4 linked regions of the Callithrix jacchus genome follow. The protein of the gene in region 3 interacts with the protein of the main gene of each other region in a pairwise test. Links are inferred from orthologs where the notes say so. Each region holds a gene or a part of one and is shown on either strand. Other genes may lie near its edges.

Region 1 (5,078 bases), on a different chromosome or scaffold from region 3:
TACCCACATAAACCATTATTCAGGTTGCAAATGCTCGTACTCTATTTGACCATAGTAATCCAGATATCATCATAAAAGCTTCAGCCCAAAATGAGTAAATTAAAGACTTATTAAAGTAAAGCTAAAATGCATATATCATTCCCTCATTGGGCTAGGCATAGGTAAACATTCACTAAAAACATTCATTAAATCCCTGACGTCTATCTACCTGACGTATCAAGTGTATTCTGGAGAGACCTGAGCTTTCAATTCAACAAGCATTTTTCAAGTGCCTAGGTGACAGGCATTGTGCCACAAAAATGAGGAATCACGAAGCTCAGTCCAGTAAGGAAGACTTCTGCTCTCATTCCATAAAGATAAAAAATGTTTCTCTTTTCAAATGCAATTTAACTGCCAAATTTCAGCAAAATTATTTTAAAATGATATAAAAATGGAATGATACCCTTCCCACCCCGAAAGCAGTCAAAACTTTACTGGAAAGACATTCGAAAGTTTCAAAGTATTTGTAGGTAAAATAACAAATATGAAAGCGGCTTCTCACCAAGCCCTTTAGCCAACCAGTTGTTGACTCCCTGGGGTGCAGCATCATAGGCTGTGTGAGGAGAGTAGATAGCCACTCTGTTCTCCAGAGCCCGGATCACCAGGCGCTCCTTCCAGGTGTTCCACGTTATGCGTTTCATGGGTCGGAAGATAGGTGGATGGTAGGAGAGAATGAGGTCTGCCTTCCTCTGCAGCACCTCCTCCATCACTTCCTCAGTCAGGTCATTCGTCAGGAAGAGGGTATTTACAGTATGTGGTGGGCTTGGTTCCACCAGTAATCCAACATTGTCCCAACTCTCAGCAAAGGAGAGGGATGCAAAGTCATTCAAGGAAGAAAGGAGAGCCTTCAAATCCATGAAGGAACGGGAAGAATTGCAGATCAGGGAATCTATAAACCGGACTGTCGTGGGGACCGGGCGTACACAAGATGACAACATACAGAAATCAGGTAAAAGTCGTTTCTGAAGTCAAAACAAAGAAAATGGTACACATGTACACTTTAGGCCTGGATCTTTGAGGCATCAAATCATATGGACAAGAGTTGTCATCATAGAGATCTGGGTTCAAATAGTGGCTCTGCCACTTACCAGCACACTGTAGCTTAGGTAAGCCATTTAACCTCTCTTGTTTTCTCGCCTAGGAAATGGAGATACTATAACCCACCTCACAGGCCATCTAGAGGACCAAATGAATTACATAACCCAGCAGAGCCTGGTATATAATACACAAATGTCCATCCCGTCTCCTGTCTCACACACCTTGTTCTCATTCTTCCCACTCTTGCTTCAACCAACCTTCTCCCTAATCCATTTCTCTAAATATTACCTTCCCTTTTCCCAAGCCCCCTTCAACTTCTTAAATAAAACTTTTCTTGACAAACCTTCCTTTTCAGCATCTTTCCTAAGGCTCCCCACCCCTCAGTGTTCTCAGAATTGCGTGTGTGCTCCATTATGCTGAAGCTACTAGGGAACAGGAACTATCTTTAATAAATCTCGGTATAACCAATATATAAGCCAGCACTAAATGCTAACTGCATAGAATGACCTTGCCTACCTCCCGACTCCCGATTACAACAGAATTTGGAGTTGGGTGGCATATACTGGCATTACAACACACTTTATCAAAAACCAGAATAATGTTTAAAATTTCAAGTGCTTTATCAGCATTAAGAATCAAGGCATACATAGGGAGGTCACTCTACAAATGGGCAGGGTCAAGGCAGGAGAAGGGAGAAGCCACTGCCCGTTAAGCAACATTTGCTACACGAAGGCCAGGCTCAAGAGGTGGGAGGGGGTAAGATATAGAGCACTTTCCCCACACAGCCTGTAAGCCTTCTAAATATCTACATCCAACAAGGAACTGAAAAGGCTGGCAACAAAGGGAAGGTGGGAGGGCAACGGAGAGACAGAAAAAAATTGCTGGCTCCAAAATATGCACAATTAGTAAATGTTTAATCAAATAACTACAAAAGATAATGCTGTCAACCCCATTCTTAAACTTACTACCTATAAACACTTTTTGAAGAAAAGCATAGTCAATTGCAAATTTGATGAAATATCCATAAGCCAATTATTCCACAAGCAATTTTTCTTTTTTTTTTTTTGAGACGGAGTTTTGCTGCTGTTACCTAGACTGGAGTGCAATGGCATGATCTCGGCTCACCGCAACCTCCGCCTTCTGGGTTCAAGCAATTCTCCTCCCTCAGCCTCCCGCGTAGCTGGGACTACAGGCGTGCACCACCATGCCCAGCTAATTTTTTTTTGTATTTTTAGTAGAGACAGGGTTTCACCTTGTTGACCAGGATGGTCTTGATCTCTTGACCTCGTCATCCACCCGGCCTCCCAAAGTGCTGGGATTATAGGCGTGAGCTACCACGCCCGGCCCAATTTTTCAACATTTCTATTTAATGAGATGGGGATGTTTATTTAATGCATTATTTGAAGTAATACAGGGTCTCCAAAAACCACTCAAGGTCTTGAAAGTTTTTGTTTTTTTCATTTTGAGACAGGGATTCACTCGTCACCTAGGCTGGAGTGCAGCGGTGCGGGTTTCAGGTCACCGGAGCCTCGACTTCCTGGCCTCAAACAGATCCTCCCACCTCAGCCTCCTGAGTAACTAGGACTATAGGCGCAGAACACCACACCTGGCTAATTTTTGTATTTTTAGTAGAGATGGGATCTTGCCATGTTGCCCAAGGCTGGTCTCAAACTCCTGCACTCAAGCGATCCACCTTGCCTCGGCCTCCCAGAGTGCTGGGATTACAGGCATGAGCCACTGCGTCCGGCCTTGGAAGATATTCTAATGATCCTCACAGTACTCCGTTCTCCAGCCTCTTCTACATCTGGCAAGCTCGAAAGTGAAACCCTTGCGGGCCGCCATGCAGGTTTTGAGTTATTTACTGTTACAGATGAGGAAACTGAGAGGCTCCATGGCCACTGTCAACAACGACAACAGGAGGCAGCACAGTATGGTGGGAGGGACTCTGAAGTCAGAGTCACAGTTGTGCAACAACAGGCAAATGAGTTATCATCTGCAGTTTCCTCTGGGGCAGCAAATAGTGCCACGGCCACAATATCGCGAGATTCACACGTAAAGCTGGAAACAGCTCTCGTACTAAGGTAAGCACTGTTTTTGCTATTAAGTAGCATCAGCAGGGCCCCTTTGCAGCCTGCAAATCGCTCCCTCTACCTTACCTAATTTTGCCTCATTTCATGTCTTTTCCAGGACAGTGAAAACAGCCAGTAAGTATGAGTAAGGACCCCCAGTACACAGTGCTGTCTCGTGGCGGGGTAGTTTTCTGACCCAATCTCTTCTGCTTGCCTCTGCAGCATCAACATAACAATCACAGCCTGCCCTAACCTGAACCTTCCGCGAAGGTCACAACTACACTCGCGGGTTTTTAAATCGCGCACAACTCACCAGTCCCGGGAACTTCTTACGTCACTTCCGGTCCTGCGTCGGCGCTCGTGGCGCTGTGGTAATGGGTTCCCAGTAGCTGGAAAGCTGGGCGGAAGTGGTCCTTTCAGTTCGGCAACCGAGTGTAAAACATTGCCTGAGGTTACCCGGATAGTTTTGCCTTACGCTTCTTGTCCCAGTGGAATTATTAAGAGCTCCCTTTCACTGTCAAATTTCCGGTGGGGGATAAATTACAGTGTCGTTTTGGTTTGAGAGAGGAAGGAGTGGGGAGGAGAGAGATGAGGCGGTAAGGGGCGTTCTCTCTCTTGGTTCCCGCGCCCAACTTCCGCTGGCCTATAGAAACTATAATTTTGAACCAACAGAACTCTGCTGGCTTGTGCGATTGCATTTTTCCTCTTTTAACAGCGGCTGTGCTAAACGAAGTGGTGAAGCCCAAGTATGGAGCAACGTCATTAATTCTTTCATTCACTTATTCGAATACTTGCTGAGCTCTGTGTTGCTACTGGTTTAGTTCTTGGGATACTGCGAGTGAACAGTGGGCAACGAGGCTGTTGTTGCAACGTGAGAATAAGAGAAGGGCCGGGTACGGTGGCTCACGCTAGTAATCCCAGCACTTTGGAAGGCCGAGCCGGGTGGAACCCCTGTGGCGCGTGCCTGTAATAACACCTACTCGGGAGGCTGAGGCAAGACAATCACTTGAACCCGGGAGGCGGAGGTTGCAGTGATCCGAGATCACGCCACTACACGCCAGCCTGGCGACGGAGCGAGGTTCCGTCTCAAAAATAAAGGGAGAGAAGTTAATAGTATATTAGTAGTAAGTGCTGTGGGAGAAGGAAATAGGAATGTCCTCGGTCTCAAGCAGTTTTATGTAGGGTTGTCAGGTCAGTTAAACTTGACATTTAAGCAGAAATTTGGAGGTGAGGAAATTAGCTGTAGAGATGTCTTGAGTGTAATAAGCATTCCAGGCAAAAGGGACACCCAGTGCCTAGCCCCTAAGGGAAGGTATCTGGCTTACTGGGGGACTTGCAAGGAGGCTCTTGAAGAAGAGCAAGCAGGGCAAGTCGGAGATTGGGAGGCTTGAATCGGGTAGGGTCTCTTATCATTACTCTATAGCTGGGTTTTTATTACATAGGGGATGCCATTAGAAGAATTTTTTTTTGTTGAGACGGAGTCTGTCTCTGTCACCCAGGTTGGCAGTGGCGGGATCTCGCCTCACTGCAACCACCGCCTCCGGGGTTCAAGCGATTCTCCTGCCTCAGCCTCCAGAGTAGCTGAGACTATAGAGAAGTGCCATCACGCCCCGCTAATTTTTGTGTTTTTAATAGAGACAGGATTTCGCCGTGTTGGCCAGGCTGGTCTTGAACTCCTGACCTCAGGCGATCCACCCGCCTTGGCCTCCCAAATTGCTGGGATTACAGGCGTGAGCCACCATTCTGGGCGAGGATTTTTATTTAAAATGTGCAGTAAAGGTGAGTGTGTGTGAATTAGGAAGATAGAAATATGAGCCTAATTCTTTTTTTCTTTTGGGACTAGAGACTTACTTTTGACCCCGCTGTAAGACTCTGAGAAATTACGTAGTCTTTCCTGAAACCACTAAGAGGAAAAATGGTAAGTTTTGACCA
Region 2 (4,974 bases), on a different chromosome or scaffold from region 3:
CTTCAACTTCTTTGACTATAGAATTTCTTTCTTTTCATAGACAGTTTTTTTTTTCTAAACCAAAGGTCATCAAATCAATTTTGTGGCTTGTGTCCAGGATTTTTTTAAAGAAAAGGAAGAGAAAATAGAATATATCCACTGGGTGCAGTGGTTCATGCCTGTAATCCCAGCACTTTGGGAGCCTGAGGCAGGAGGATCATGAGATCAGGAGACTGAACTATCCTGGCCAACATGGTGAAACCCCATCTCTACTAAAATTAAAAAAAAAAAAAAACACTGGGTGTGGTGGTGCGTGCCTTTAGTCTCAGCTACTTGGGAGGCTGAGGCAAGAGAATTGCTTGAAAACCTGAAGGCGGCGGTTGCAGTGAGCTGAGATTGCCCCACTGCACTCCAGCCTGGGTAAAAGAGTGAAACTCTGTCTCAAAAAAAAAAAACAAAACAATTAGCTGGGCATGGTGGTGGGCACCTGTAATCCCAGCTACTCAGGAGGCTGAGGCAGGAGAATCGCTTGAACCCAGGAGGTGGAGGTTGCAGCATGCCAAGACTGCATCACTGCACTCCAGCCTGGCGACAGAGCAAGACTCTATCTCAAAAAAAAAAAAAAAAGAAAGAGAAAAGAAAATAGAATATATCAAACAATATACCATGTAAGGATAGGTTTTGTTTTAGGAAACTTTGTTTTCTGTTACGCGTTTGTATGTAAGTGTGTCTTGAATTGCTATGTAAAAACATAAGCTTAAAGCAAAAGTGTGAAAGCCACTGTCCTGGGAGACAGCCTATTAATCAGGCATGTCCTACATGTATAAAGAGGGCTGGTGTTTATCTGAATGGAAGCAAACATGGCTGGCTAAACTAGCAATGAAGGATTTAAACTATTTTTTCAGGGGGAAAAATTTATATATGTATATACATGTTTGTGTGTTTGTGTGTGTGTATGTGTGTATACTCAAGTAAGAATCTCTCAATGAGCTGGGAAGAGATGACTTCCCATATAGAATTAGAAATAGGAAGGAGAAAGGAAGCAAGGGAGGAAGGAAAGAAAAGTGAAATAAAAAAATTGAGGAATCTGTTAAACTTGAGGAACTGCAAGGATGTACATTTCCACTTTAAAAAAAAGTTCAAAAAACAGATGAAAAAGGGCAGAGAAGTCCTTATTTCCAAATGGAGAAAATCTTCCTGATGAAACTGAAGTGGAGCCTGGGTAGCAAGGCCTGTTGGTAAGGGCTTGAATAGGTCTTCTGACTAATACGAATGATAGCTGACATCCATTAAATGCCAGTTTACAATTTCCAGCTGATTTAAACTTTATAACTTTATGAGGTAGACACTAACATTTCTCCTGCAAAAAGGGATGGGGGTGGCACAGGTGGTGGCATGGGTGGGCAGGGAGAACAGGTTAAATTCCAGAAGCATTTAAAACAGTTGCCAGAAAATATGCCTAGTCATGGGTGTTAGAGGATGGAACTTTCCCCCTAAGGTCCTAACATCTAGCAATTCTAATCAGTATACAGACCAGTCCAAAATGGACATGTAATCATATTACTTACATTTTTCTTTGTTAAAATCAACATAACAGATATTTTGCTTTTTATTCTGGGAATGCCAAGTTAGTAGACATGTCATCCTTATGTGATTTTAGTGCTGCATTTTTTTGGCATATTACTAAATGCAATAAATCATACCGAAATAAAAATTCTAATGATAAATCTGATGACAGTAAGATTTTTAAATTCTATTAAAATCAGCAGATCTTCTCATTTCAATCTTTTTGCTCCAACAGCACATAAGAATTTTGACCAAAGACATTTCTCTCTATGCCATATATATTCTTGGTAAATTATAATTTCCACTAATCCTATTCCCTGTAGATAGGTAATTCTTTTTTCAAGGCTGATGTATAACTACTTTTTTAAAGAGATGCAGAAGGACCAAATAAATTCATTACTATTCAAAACGACAACACTGATCTCACTTTTTTTTTTGAGGCGGAGTCTCACTTTTGTCGCCCACGCTAGAGTGCATTAGCGCAGGATCTCTGCTCACTGCAACCTCTGCTTCCTGGGTTCAAGCTATTCTCCTGCTTCAGCCTATAGTCCCAGCCCCAAGTAGCTGGGACCATAGGCATGCACCGCCACATCCAGCTAATTTTTGTATCTTTAGTGAAGATGATGTTTCACCATGTTGGCCAGGCTGGTCTCGGACTACTGACCTTAGGTGATCCACCCGCCTCAGCCTCCCAAAGTGCAAGGATTACAGGCATGAGCCACCATGCCAGGCTGATCTCACTTTTTAAAGTAATGTTTTAAGTGCAGTACACACGGCAAGTACTCCCCAGTGAGAAAAAGAAGACAAGGTGCAGTTTTTCAGAAACTGCTGGTACACAGGCTTAGTTGGATGTGAGTCTTCCTCGGAAGCACCAGTCTTGAGGTTTAAACAAATCAGGAGAAATAATTTTGCGTTTGTGAGTCAGGGCACAATTCTGCTTTAATCACTACCTTGGCATTAGTGGGACTTCATTTTTTTTTTTTAATGTTAAAACATTTTATTGCCCAATTCCTAAAGCTTTTAGCCAAACATGGTAAGGGCAGCCTGGACTCAAAGTTGGGGAGTGAGGCTGGATCAAAGTCCAAAATGCAACTAAGTTAAGACCTTTGCATTAGAGACGCCAAAGCTGCAAGTAAGCAGAAGGGTTCCCAGGACGGACAGGGCAACGCCAGCTCCCTAAGTTAGCATGTGTCTCAGCCTCTGTTTCCTTACCAGGAAAATGGGGACGAGAGTTCTCTGCAAAGATTAACCAAGCTAATCTAGGAGAAGGAAAGAAAGAGAGAGAGAGAGAAAGGAGAGAAAGAGGGAGGGAAGGAAGGAGAGAGAGAAAGAAAGAAGAGAGGGAGTGAAGGAAAGAAGGAAGGAAGGAAGCAAGGAGGGAAGGAGGGAGGGAAGGAAGGAAGGGGAGAGAGAGAGAGATGAGAGAAAGAGGGAGGGAAGGAGGGAAAGAAGGAAGGAAAGAGAAAGTGAGAGAGGGAGCGAGGGAAGGAAGGAGGGAGGGAGGCGGGGAGGAAAGGAGGGAAGTAAGGAGAGAGAGAAAGAAAGGAGAGAGGGAGGGAGGGAAGGAAGGAAGGAGGGAAAGCAGGCAGGCTCCTGGCATATACCAGTTGCTCAACTGTCAGTGTCTTTCTCCGTTTAAACCAGCCGGGGACAGTCAAAGCCTCCAGAGCCGCGGGCGGATAAGGCCCCCACGGTCCCAGGGCTGGAGGCGACGGAGCCGGTTACCTGATCACGTTGACCGGCGGGTTTCGGAAGCGGATCAGCGCCAAGGCGTTGTGCCGCGTATACTCGGCCATGTTTCCTCTGTCACCGAGGGTACCTCTGCCTCTCGCCTTCAGGCGAAGCCACTTTTCCGGGCGCGCCAGCAGCCCCGAGGGGAGGGACGCGGGCTTAGCCAATGCGAGCCGGGGCACCGCCTCCTGCCGCGCCTCTTCCCACCCAGGTCCTCCTCTCCCGAGACTCCACCCCGCGCTCCACAGACGCTTGTGCTTTCTCTTTGTTGACTCCCACGCTGCTCCTGCTACAAAGTACCGCAAGGAGAATGATGGAAAACAGGTGTCACTGCCGGCAAGTCGAAGTTTGCAATCCCTGGCCCACAGGAGCCGGCTACTGAGGACAAGTTCTGAGTTCACTGAGTCGGGCAAGCTGTCCGCATCGCAGTATTCATCTTCATGATCCTTCTGAACAGGGACAGATACCTGGGGCCCTGACAGTTATGTGATACTGATACTCATCGGAACACATAAAATACCCATTGTTTATTTCACCTAAATGAGTAGGGTACTGATGAAACAGACTTCGCAAAAATTCTAACAGTGAGAAAATTATGACAGTGGGAGAGATCTGATTTAACCAACCCCTATCTTGCCTTTAGCTACCCTTAATTATTCCTGAGCTTGGGCTAAGTTAACTTTGGGAGACACTTAGTTTATAGTTTAAATGATAATGGCCCTTTCCCAAAACTCAACTGCCTTTGTAAAGCTAAATGAGAGACCACCAGGCTAGGAGGATAGCAGAGCCTGACTTCTGTTTGTTAAGGTGTAGACATAGACCATTGCCAGCCATTATTCCGGAGGCCACCAGATAGACAACTTCCCCATTTACTCCTGCAGATAACATTACTATTGTAGAACCTAAGTTTGGCCCTTTGAGATATCGTTTCAGATTTTTTGCATGCCTGACACTGATGGCTCCTCCTGGACCAGTCAACTGCTCCTGTGGCCCTGCCCACACACAAGTCAGTACAAGAGGCAGCTTCCTTTGACCCCCTAGGAGTTCGTCTCCAACCCAGCCAGTCAGCACTTCCCATAACCTAGCTCCTGCCCACCAAACTGCCTTTGAAAAACCCCTAAGCTACTAGCCTTGGATGAGACTGATTTGAGTAATAACTCCATCTCCCACATGGCCTGGCCAGCCTCACATCAATTAAACTCTTTCTTCACTGCAATGCCGAGGTCTCCTCGAATTGATTTTATTTGTGAAGCAGGCAGGAAGAACCTATCCAGTGATCACACTAACATCAACCAAATACTTACATAATGTCGTGTACTGGAGAAGGGTCTGGACTGCAAGTTGGCCAGGTTTTTGACATTTTGAACAAAGAACTGGATGGAACACACAAACAAAGCCAGGAAAGAACAAAGCAACAGAAGCAGAGATTTACTGAAAATGAAAAGACACTTTACAGGGTGGGAGTGGGCCTGAGAAAGGGGCTCAAGGGCCCTTGTTACAGAATTTTCTGGGGTTTCAATACCCTCTAGGGGTTTCCCATTGGTTACTGGGTGTATGCCCTACGTAAATGAAGAGGATGAAGTAAAATTACAAAGTCATTTACTCAGTGTACATCCTATGTGAGTGAAGAGGATATTTCCTGTCATAGCTGAAGTGTTTCCATTTGATTTAGTTCTAAGAAGTTCCTTAGGTTCCCTG
Region 3 (4,548 bases):
GCACAGATATAGACTCTGTTTCATTTGGTAGCAAATTGCCAAAACACAAAATAGATGCTGAGAGGTAAAAAATGGTAAAGCTTTATTGAATATTCCTTAAGTGGACAGTTAATAAGGAAACAAAGTAAGCTTGACTTTCTAATATTTATAAATATTACATTAAAGAGTATTAACCAGATTTACATGCCAATTTATTCATTGAGAGTTATATATTCATTATATATAAATATATAATTATGTATAACATATATATTAATGAATGTATTCATTAATTGAGATATATATCTACTTTATATATATAAAGTAGAAATCTATCTCTCTCATACATATATAAAAAATAACCTTTGAAACATTTTTAATTTGCTGAAACTTCTAACCTGGATTTTAAATATCATATTATTAAGAAAAAATTGAACATTTAATGAAGCAAAGCAAAACAATTGAAGCATAATACTTTTCTTACATAAAAAATTAATTAAGAAAATAAAATGGGCTGGGCACAGTGGCTCACCCCTGTAACCCCAGAACTTTGGGAGACCAAGGCAGGTAAATCATTTGAGGCCAAGAGTTTGAGACCAGCATGGGCAATATGGCAAAACCCCATCTCTACTGAAAGTTGAAAAAAAAAAAAAATTAGCCAGGCATGGTGGCACAGCCTGTAATTCCAGCTACTAGGGAGGCTCAGGTGAGAGAATGGCTTGAGTCCAGGAGGCTGAGGTTGCAATGAGTAGAGATTGCACCACTGCACTCCAGCCTGAAGCTCAGCTTAAAAGACACAGAGCAAACATTTTATAAGTGATAAAGGAGGTATCTGCAGTGGAATTTGAAAACTGATTTTGAATGTTAAGACAGTTCAAAATATTTTATCTAAGTCTCTGTTACTTGAGATTTGGTATTGCCAAAGCTCCTTTTCTTAAATGTCTAGGTACACACAGCTGTATAATAGGATCAGGTTTCCTGGTCTTACTCCAAGTTTTCTACCTGGGAAGTCTTTATGAAAGTCAACAGAAATATATAAAGTCTCAGTATACGAGAAATTTTATATACTGGAGAATTATTCATAAAACTGAACCGTACTCAGAGTGCAAATAAATCAATAAACTTTCATCTATTTGAATAGGAGGTTCTAGTCAAGGACAATGGAAAAATGACTCTCTGAATTTCTGAGCTGATTTCTGTGCACTAGTCAAGAGAATTTTCCCACTAGATAGGAATGCAGGAAAAAAATACATTCACATCTTCTCAATTCAAGCCACCCACTCACTGAGATTCCAGGACAAAGAATTTAAAAGATTAGATGGATTTATAAGTAATAGCATATTCTCTATTCTTGGAAAACGTTCTCTTGTGATAGAAAAAAAAAATAGACTGTGATTGCCTCATGTGGATTGCATGCAAATGTTGATTCATGGACACAGGCACCATGACTCATAATGTCCGTGGGATTGTTTCTTAAAGAGGAGCGTGGGAAGACAAGGCCATGGAAAGTCTCCTTTTTTCTCTTATTCTTTGACCTGTCTATAGATTATAGACTGAAGTCACTGAGAACTGGAGAATTTACTTCCCCTGAGAATTGTTCATTCATTCCATAACAGGAAAAAGTATATGTTGTGTGCATGTATGTGGATAAACGTGTCAAGACAACACGTGCATATCTTTAAAATTGACACCTTAGAATAGAAAAGTTTACATCTAGAAAAACACAGCTCTACATTGTTCCTATCAGACTGCATCAGGGAAGTAATATTGTGAGTGGGCTGGAGAGAAGTCTGTAATTTCCAAAAAGTTAAATCCTTCAAGAAATAAAAGCACAGAGTTTAGAACGTGACTGACATGTATAGGTCTAGATAAAATTGTCACTATATATATTAGGCTAAAAATCCAATTTAATTATATTCTTTTTTCCACTAATATTGGTTGCCTCTCTTAGGAATGTACACTCAGTAGAGTAATAAGTATTTATTCTGTACACAGATGCTTATATGATCACAATCTATTCATCTAGTGAAATATAGAAGAAGAATCTAAAAAAGCAAGTGGTGGCACTAGTAAATTTCACAGGGACTAATGAGAAACTTCTGGCAGAAAATAAGTGGTAGATAAAGAACTTACTGTATTTGTGAATGGCTAGTACGCAAAATTATCCCTATTTCAGTCCATTTAAACCAGATAATTTAAAATTATTATATAATATATACTTATATTTATATAATATATTGTATGTATATGTGCATACATATCTCTCTTGCTTTTCCAGTTCTGCTTGTTAAGACTTTATAACTAAGAGATAAAAAATGATTATTTTTAGGTTTTGGAACCATATTTCAACATATATTAGATATTCTACATTGGGCTAATAAAACTGTAAGCTAATCACAAAGAAACAAAAATCCATATTGAACATTTCATATTACTAGCCTCTTCCCCAGACATTATTTCTTCTTGATTTTCATGAGAATTCAGTGAGAAAGGCTATGACAGACTGTGTTTTTCAGAGATCTTTGCCACAATGACTGCATCCTACACACCCTTATTATAAAATCGTTTTGACTCTCCTTCCATTGAAAGTGCCTCTCTCTTGAATCTGAGTCAGCCTTTGAGATGCCCACCCATCAGTGGGTCTGAAGTGATGCTAAGTGATTTGTGAGGCAGAGTCATTCAAATGGCGTTTTCTTCTCTGTGTTCTTAAGATGTTCACTTGTAACCTAGTCCCGATGTTGTGAGGAAGCCAAACAGCCTTATAAATAGCCCCAGTGCAGGTGTCCCAGCTGAGGCCTAGATGAGAACCAAGATGGACTGCCAGAGATATGAGTGAGAGAGGCTCTAGCCCCCAGCCTTCCAAGCATGCCAGACTTTGAGCCATTGCAGCTGAAGGCACAAGTCAGAGATAAGGATATCCGTGCCAAGCCATGCTCAAGATTCTTGAACAGAAGACATAGCGATCATTGTTGATATGTTTTAATGATCATTGTTTGGAAAAGTTTGTTTCAAGACAACAGAAAACTGGAACATAACATCACTACAGCTATTTTCACAAAAGCAGCAACAGCCAACGTCCCATAGCTAGAATACATCAGAACAAAGATGAATATCCAGGCCAATTAATCACAAGCCTGAAGCCCTAATGGTCCATGTATAAGACAGCTTATTCTGTAATCAGTATCTCACAAAATTGTGATTTTTTTCCACTATTAAAATTAACATATTTATTGACCAAGTCCAAATGCTGTAAAAATTAAATAATACACTGGATATTTTAACCGTGGACATTAAGAATTCAGAAAAAATTAAAGTGAATCTACCAGAGATGGTAAGAACATAGTCATGATAAAAGTCAATTTAAAAGAATGAAGAACACTAACAAGTTATAGATTACTTTTCAAAATTCAAAATATATGTCAAACTAATTTATTTAAATACTAAAACGTAACGACTAAACATGGATAAAATACATTAACAAATGATCGATCTATCAGTGTTAACAATTTTAAGTGGTTTGAAACAGACTTGGTTAAGGTAGAGAATGATTAGCACTTACTCTCTTTCTTTCCATAAGATTTTTTGGAACTCATTCAAATGCACCTGCAAAGCTGAAATTTCAGTTACTTGATTATCCAAAGGCAGATTTATTGCTTTCAGTTTCAGCCCAGGTTTCATTTCACCATTTCCAGAGCCACCATTCTTGAATAAATCAACACTATCTAGATTAGGTTTCATCTCGTCATTTAATTTTAAAGAATCAATAACCGCTCCTTCTTCCTGAAAAAATAAAACAATTATGGTGGATATTTAAACCCCTTAGGAGAAAAATCATGACAACAATACAATTTCATAAAGAAATAAACGTTACAATACAGCATCAAATCCATATTTTTATTTCATTATCAGTACCTAAAAGTGTTACGTGGCTGAACTTACTTGAGTTCTTCTTCAAACTTTTCTATGTTCTTCCTTGTTATAATAAAATACATTTCTAAAAGGGTCTGCTTTACCTCTTTGTTTGTTTTCTTTTTCTAATCATAGCTAAAAATAACCATGCACAAAGTTGAACAGCTGAAAAGAATTTTTTAATGAGTTGATGAATTCTTTTTCAAGTTTCTTTTGTCATAAGAAAGACATAGTTTCAAAGTAATTATTTTTGTAACATTTTTGAAAGACGATAGAATTTTCAGAAAGCTCTTGAATATTTCAATAAGCTCACTTATTGCTTTATTTTAGTTAATGAGTCACATCTCAAATAGAATTTAATGGGACACTTGATACGGACATCAATACTAGAGCAGCAACTGCGTCAATATTCTTAGTGCGTAACTCAAAAGCTTCACAGGACTCATGCTATTGGTATTTGACTATAATTTAAATTTACCCTAGTTTATAAGTTCGAAGTGAAAGACAATTTCAAATAAAATCTCATTGAATAATCAAGTTTAAGTAAAATCTCCAGAATGCTTCAATATTTTATGTTTTAAATAATATATGGGTGCCAGATTACCTAGTATAATTCATTCCTCAATTCTCTCAAGAATGAGTATTGCAATTATCTGTATC
Region 4 (5,165 bases), on a different chromosome or scaffold from region 3:
TGGCTTTCCCAAAACATGCATTTTCACACCACTGTCTTTGCTCAGTTCATTCTCTGCTGGGAATGCTTGTTCATACCACTAAACATACACAGAACTTACTTCTCAAGGTCCAATTCAAATACCTCTGTTGACAAGCTTTCTCTTTTTTCAAATTTCCCTACTCTGCAATAGAATGCATTTGCTTCCTCTGCTGTATTAGCAGCATGCTTTATATATATTCCTTTTATTTTATTTTATTTTATTTCGAGACGAAGTTTCACTCTTGTCACCCAGGCTGGAGTACAATGGCACGATCTCGGCGCACTGCAACCTCCGATTCCTGAATTGAAGTGATTATCCTGCCTCAGCCTCCTGAGTAACTAGGATTACAAGTATGTGCCACTACACCAGCTAATTTTTGTATTTTTAGTAGAGACAGGGTTTCTGGACTTGAACACCTGACCTTGGGTGATTAGCCTGCCTTGGCTTCCCAAAGTGCTGGGATTATAGGCATGAGTCAACATGCCTGGCTATGTATATTCTTAATTATCTTAAATATATTAAGAGCAATTAGCAATTGCTCCCTTGTGCTGATATTTGCCTTACATATTTGCTTTCTTTTCTAGACTACCAGTGCAAATGGCTCATTTCTAGTTTCAAACTTTTTGTCACATAGGAAATGTTTGTTAAAAGCTGTTTTATAAAATTTAAAGCTTATTTTACATATTATTCTCATTTGATCTCTCAAGAATTCTGTGAATTTGACAAAGTAGATTGCTCTATATGCATAAGACTGATGAACAAACAGGCTTAGAGATAGTGACCTGCCCAAGGTTAGGAAGCTGTAAGTGTTGGGATTGAATCCCAGGTCTTCTCATTACTTTTTACTAAATTCCATTGAAGGTTATCAACCGACAGACAGGATTACTCTGTGTGTTGGTAACAAAAGGGTGATCAATCATATTTGAAAAACAGACTTTAGTCTTTTCCTTTCCTTCAAACCCACCCCACAATGGAGCATTCTTTCATGCCTCCAATTTAATTCCACCTGGCGAGAAACGTGGGCTAAATATCCTTATTATATCTTAAATCAAATTGCCAAAACTCCACAGGCTACTAAAAGTTAACCCTTACTGAATGCATGAAAAACCTTAGAAGTTCTGCTGTTAAAAGCACGGTGACTGTCAGGATTTTTCAGTGTGTGTGTGTTTTAAGACTTCAGCTCTTCCGTATGATGGATTCCTTTGACTTTGTCTCTATTATTATAGACTTGTAGCTGTTATAACTGTCAGGGTTTTTCAGTGTGTACCAGCGTGTCTGTGTGTCTAAGACTTTCAGCTCTTTCGTGTGATAGATTTCTTGGACTTTGTCTCTATTATTATAGGCTTATAGTCCAGGTAACTACCAAGCATTATCCAAAGGGGAAAGCACCCTGTTAGAAACCAAGAAAAACGGTTTATACTCCCAGTCTGCTATTTCGATTCTAAGCTTTATCTTTATTTAGCTCACAGTTAGAGGCGCATGAAGCCACACCCACCTCACAGATGCCAGACTGGGAGACCAGAAAAGTAAGAGCGACTTGCAAACCTTAGCTCTAAATCCATAAAAAAGACTATCATATGCTCAGATTTCTAGTTTTTGCTAATATACTATAATCCTTATTTTGAAAATAGTGTGCTTCCAATCCTCTTAAAGCGTAAGTCACGTCGCTGCGACCCTCCCTTCGGTGACTCCGGCCTCTCAAGCGACACTCGGCCTTCCAGCTTTTCGGCAGGGCTGCACCGAACGAGGAAAAGCGGCGCCTGTGGTGACGCACGTATTCCGCGCAATGACGTCACTGCCAGGCGCCGGGCGATACCTTGTGTCTGTTTTCGGCGGGCTTAGCAGGGACAAAAATGTCTATGGCTAGCGATTTCTATCTGCGCTACTACGTAGGGCACAAGGGCAAGTTTGGGCACGAGTTTCTGGAGTTCGAATTTCGGCCGGACGGTGAGAAGAGGCCCACGGCACGCGGTGCTAGGAAAGGGGAGCGAGACCTAGAGTCCGTGGAGAAGGCGAGGGGAGGCCGGGTGGTGTGGGGTGAGCCGAGCTTCTGTAGGCTTGAGAGTGTGCAGGGGGCGGAGGCCACTGCTTTCCCCGAAGGAAATAGGAGCTTAAGAATATAGGAGGCCCAAGTTGGTTTTATAAAGTAAAGAGAATTGCTATAAATTAAAGCTAATCCTGTCACAAACTGAAAAGTTGAACCTACAGTAATTATAATTTTTTAACAGTGCATCTGAAGGGACTTGAAAGGTTCTGGAGATGGTCGCCATAATTAAAAATGCTAGCATCTTTTTGAAAACACCCCCACCATTGGTGGTCCAATAGATGAATAAAATCTTGCAACCAGTACATTTTGTTCGTTCAGGCTGTGTGTGTTATTTGAAGGGGAGGAGCTCGACGTGTTAACAAATGAGAATAATAATATGTTTTAGGTGCTTAAGTATAATTGTTCACCACAGCATGTATATAGAGTATCAAAAAAGAGGAGAGAGGCAAAGTTCCACAGGAGGGAATCAGGAAAATCTTCCTAGATGACGACACTACTGAGATGAGTCTGGAAATGAGAGACTTGGCCTTTGAGAGAGAAAAAAACCAGACTTCCAGAGCAGAATGAGCCGAGGACCAGGTGAAACTGCTACCCATGTAGTGTGCAACAATTTGTGTTTTCTGACAGCACTATCCTTAGAGAATGTTACATTGATCTTGCCTACCTCCAACAAGAAAGTTCATTTGGAAACATATTTTTTGGGTTTTTTTGAATGCACATTTTGTGCTGGGCAACAAGCAAATACAAAATTTGAAGATACAATAGTAAGACTTAAATTTAACTCAAAGAGATTGGTCTTGGTGGGAGACACAGACGTTTAACTATAAGGCAATATGCATATTAAGTCCTATAAGCATGTTTTGGACAATGTTCTGTGAGAGCAAGAATAGAAAATTACAGGAGGAGTGTATATTAGGAAAAGAGGAGAGTACCAAGCACTTCAGACGGAACTCACGTTAACTACAGTCCTGCAGTTATTATTTTTTTTGAGACAGGGTCTCACTGTGTCACTCCGATCTGAGTGCAGTGGCACAGTCTCAGCTCGCTACAACCTCTGCCTCTCGGGCGCAAGTGATCCTCCCACTTCAGCCTCCCGAGTTGCTGGGAGTAAGGCCCGTGACACCTCTCCTGACTCATTTTTCTTTTCGGTAGAGACAGGTTTTCCCATGTTGCCCAGGCTGGCCTCAAATTCTCGAGGTCAAGTGATTCAGCTGCCCGAAGTCCTGGGATTACACGGATGAGCCACTGCACCCAGCCAGCCCTGCAGTTATTTAGAAACCTTAATCGCTGTATTCAACCTTACTCTCTCCATAAATTCAGCTAAATTTACCTGAATTGATCTTTCTTTAATATTATTTTCAGTTCCTCTGCCTGTGAACAACATCATGCTTATCCCTATCCCTTTTAGCAGGTCACATAAATTAAGTACCTGAATATTATCAGGGAAATTGTATGGTAGAACAATGGTTCTAATCAATGTAGCTGCCACCGCGCCATTCCACATACCTCCATTGGTAATAGTGAGTCCTGAAGACTGGCATCTTTTTTCTTTTTCTTTTCTTTTTTTCTTTTTTGAGACTGGAATCTTGCTCTGTCGCCCAGGCTGGAGTGCAATGGTGTGATCCTGGTTCACTGCAACCTCGGCCTCCTGGGTTCAAGGGATTCTCCTGCCTCAGCCTCCTGAGTAGCTGGGATTGTGGGCATGCGCCACCACATCCAGCTAATTTTTCACCATGTTGGCCAGGCTCGTCTTGAACTGCTGACATCAGGTGATTCACCCACCTCAGCCTCCCAAAGTGCTGGGATTACAGGCATGAGCCACTGTCCCTGGCCATCAAAGACTGGCATTTCCATCATTTTAGAGTATCTGCAGTACATTGTACCTGTGTCTGGGCAACTGACTGGCCATAAGGGGAAGTATACATCAGAGAATACAAAAATCGTGATGGATTAAAATTAAATATAAACCAGCCAACAAACTCACCAACTTTGACCCAGAAGCATTGTTTGTATGCTTCTTAGTCATAATTCTAAAATGTCTGCATTATCATAATTGTATGCATACACTGGAAGGAAAGAAATTAAAACATTTTGTGTAGTGGAGAAAGCATGAGTATTGAAAGAAAGTAGATTTAGAGCTGAATCTTGTGTGACCCTGGTTAAGTTACTTTGTTTTCTCTCCTATGAATACGTGAGATAATAAAACTTGTTTTTTAGGGTTGTTTTAAAGATTAAATGCTCTGGGTAAGACACTTAGCACCAATACGGACATATAACAAACTTGAAAGGAATGTTAGTGCCTTTTGCAGATTCTCTTTCTAGTTCATGATGTAGCTTAAGAAAACAGGCCTTAAAAATGACCCAATATATAGTATAGGCATGGGCTATTTAAATATTTGGCCACCTTCAACTTCAGCAAACTTAACCAGCAAATATTTATTGTCTACATTTCTGCATCTTACACAAGGAGGGAGGAAATACTAATAAAAGTAGTAGTATCAAATGGTTTTTGCCTTCATAATTGTATACAATGTCATTAATTTTTTTTTGGCAGTTTTTGCTATTATAAATTGATTTTTTTTCTCCACTTCTCACAGGAAAGCTTAGATATGCCAACAACAGCAATTACAAAAATGACGTAATGATCAGAAAAGAGGTAAGTTATATTCAAATGTCTTTTAGCCCATTTTCTTCAAGTGTGTGTTGAATTTACAAAAATACATCTAAGTTTCCATTGTAAATAAGAAGCCAATTTATAGATAGAAAGGCATTTCTGTTTCAAATAGATACAATTGTTGCATCCATAGTGATGAGAAAGTTCAGAGAACTAACTGTGATGTGAACTATACTTGCATTTATCTATTTATTTATTTTTATTTTTTGAGACAGAGTCTCGCTCTGTCGCCTAAGCCGGAGTGCAGTGGTGCGATCTCAGCTCACTGCAGCCTCTGCCTTCCAGGCTCATGCGATTCTCCTGCCTCAGTATACTTCCATTTATTACTGTTCACCTTATAGATCTTGTGACGTCACAAGTTAACCAGTCGGAGGTATTTGGATCTCAATGTTACAAAGGCAGAATACAGTGTTTTCAAAGGCA

Evidence for each region. The genes of interacting proteins can lie anywhere in the genome.
Region 1: the proteins of CCDC102B (region 3) and NIF3L1 interact in binary tests that used the Homo sapiens proteins (3 or more experiments, as listed by UniProt). The two-hybrid records come from large-scale screens. The link is inferred for Callithrix jacchus from reciprocal best matches to the Homo sapiens genes CCDC102B and NIF3L1.
Region 2: the proteins of CCDC102B (region 3) and EHHADH interact in binary tests that used the Homo sapiens proteins (3 or more experiments, as listed by UniProt). The two-hybrid records come from large-scale screens. The link is inferred for Callithrix jacchus from reciprocal best matches to the Homo sapiens genes CCDC102B and EHHADH.
Region 4: the proteins of CCDC102B (region 3) and MAGOHB interact in binary tests that used the Homo sapiens proteins (3 or more experiments, as listed by UniProt). The two-hybrid records come from large-scale screens. The link is inferred for Callithrix jacchus from reciprocal best matches to the Homo sapiens genes CCDC102B and MAGOHB.

What each region holds. Positions count from the first base shown.
Region 1 is NC_133507.1:121,998,524-122,003,601, reverse strand, and holds the start of NIF3L1 (NIF3-like protein 1), read right to left. Parts: upstream 3,369-5,078; 5' UTR 3,159-3,368; coding exon of another isoform or gene 2,725-3,158; 5' UTR 2,330-2,724; exon of another isoform or gene 2,168-2,329; intron 1,002-2,167; 5' UTR 978-1,001; coding exon 542-977; intron 1-541. Other genes in the region: PPIL3 (peptidyl-prolyl cis-trans isomerase-like 3), read left to right, coding at 2,725-3,158, 3,369-3,517, 3,862-3,892, 4,990-5,014. UniProt on the Homo sapiens protein: May function as a transcriptional corepressor through its interaction with COPS2, negatively regulating the expression of genes involved in neuronal differentiation.
Region 2 is NC_133516.1:14,235,343-14,240,316, forward strand, and holds the start of EHHADH (peroxisomal bifunctional enzyme), read right to left. Parts: upstream 3,369-4,974; 5' UTR 3,342-3,368; coding exon 3,271-3,341; intron 1-3,270. UniProt on the Homo sapiens protein: Peroxisomal trifunctional enzyme possessing 2-enoyl-CoA hydratase, 3-hydroxyacyl-CoA dehydrogenase, and delta 3, delta 2-enoyl-CoA isomerase activities. Catalyzes two of the four reactions of the long chain fatty acids peroxisomal beta-oxidation pathway.
Region 3 is NC_133514.1:111,495,575-111,500,122, reverse strand, and holds part of CCDC102B (coiled-coil domain-containing protein 102B), read right to left. Parts: intron 3,760-4,548; coding exon 3,539-3,759; intron 1-3,538. UniProt on the Homo sapiens protein: During interphase, forms fibers at the proximal ends of centrioles to maintain centrosome cohesion. During mitosis, dissociates from the centrosome following phosphorylation to allow centrosome separation. Contributes to CROCC/rootletin filament formation.
Region 4 is NC_133510.1:12,487,274-12,492,438, forward strand, and holds the start of MAGOHB (protein mago nashi homolog 2), read left to right. Parts: upstream 1-1,797; 5' UTR 1,798-1,874; coding exon 1,875-1,968; intron 1,969-4,665; coding exon 4,666-4,724; intron 4,725-5,165. UniProt on the Homo sapiens protein: Required for pre-mRNA splicing as component of the spliceosome. Plays a redundant role with MAGOH in the exon junction complex and in the nonsense-mediated decay (NMD) pathway.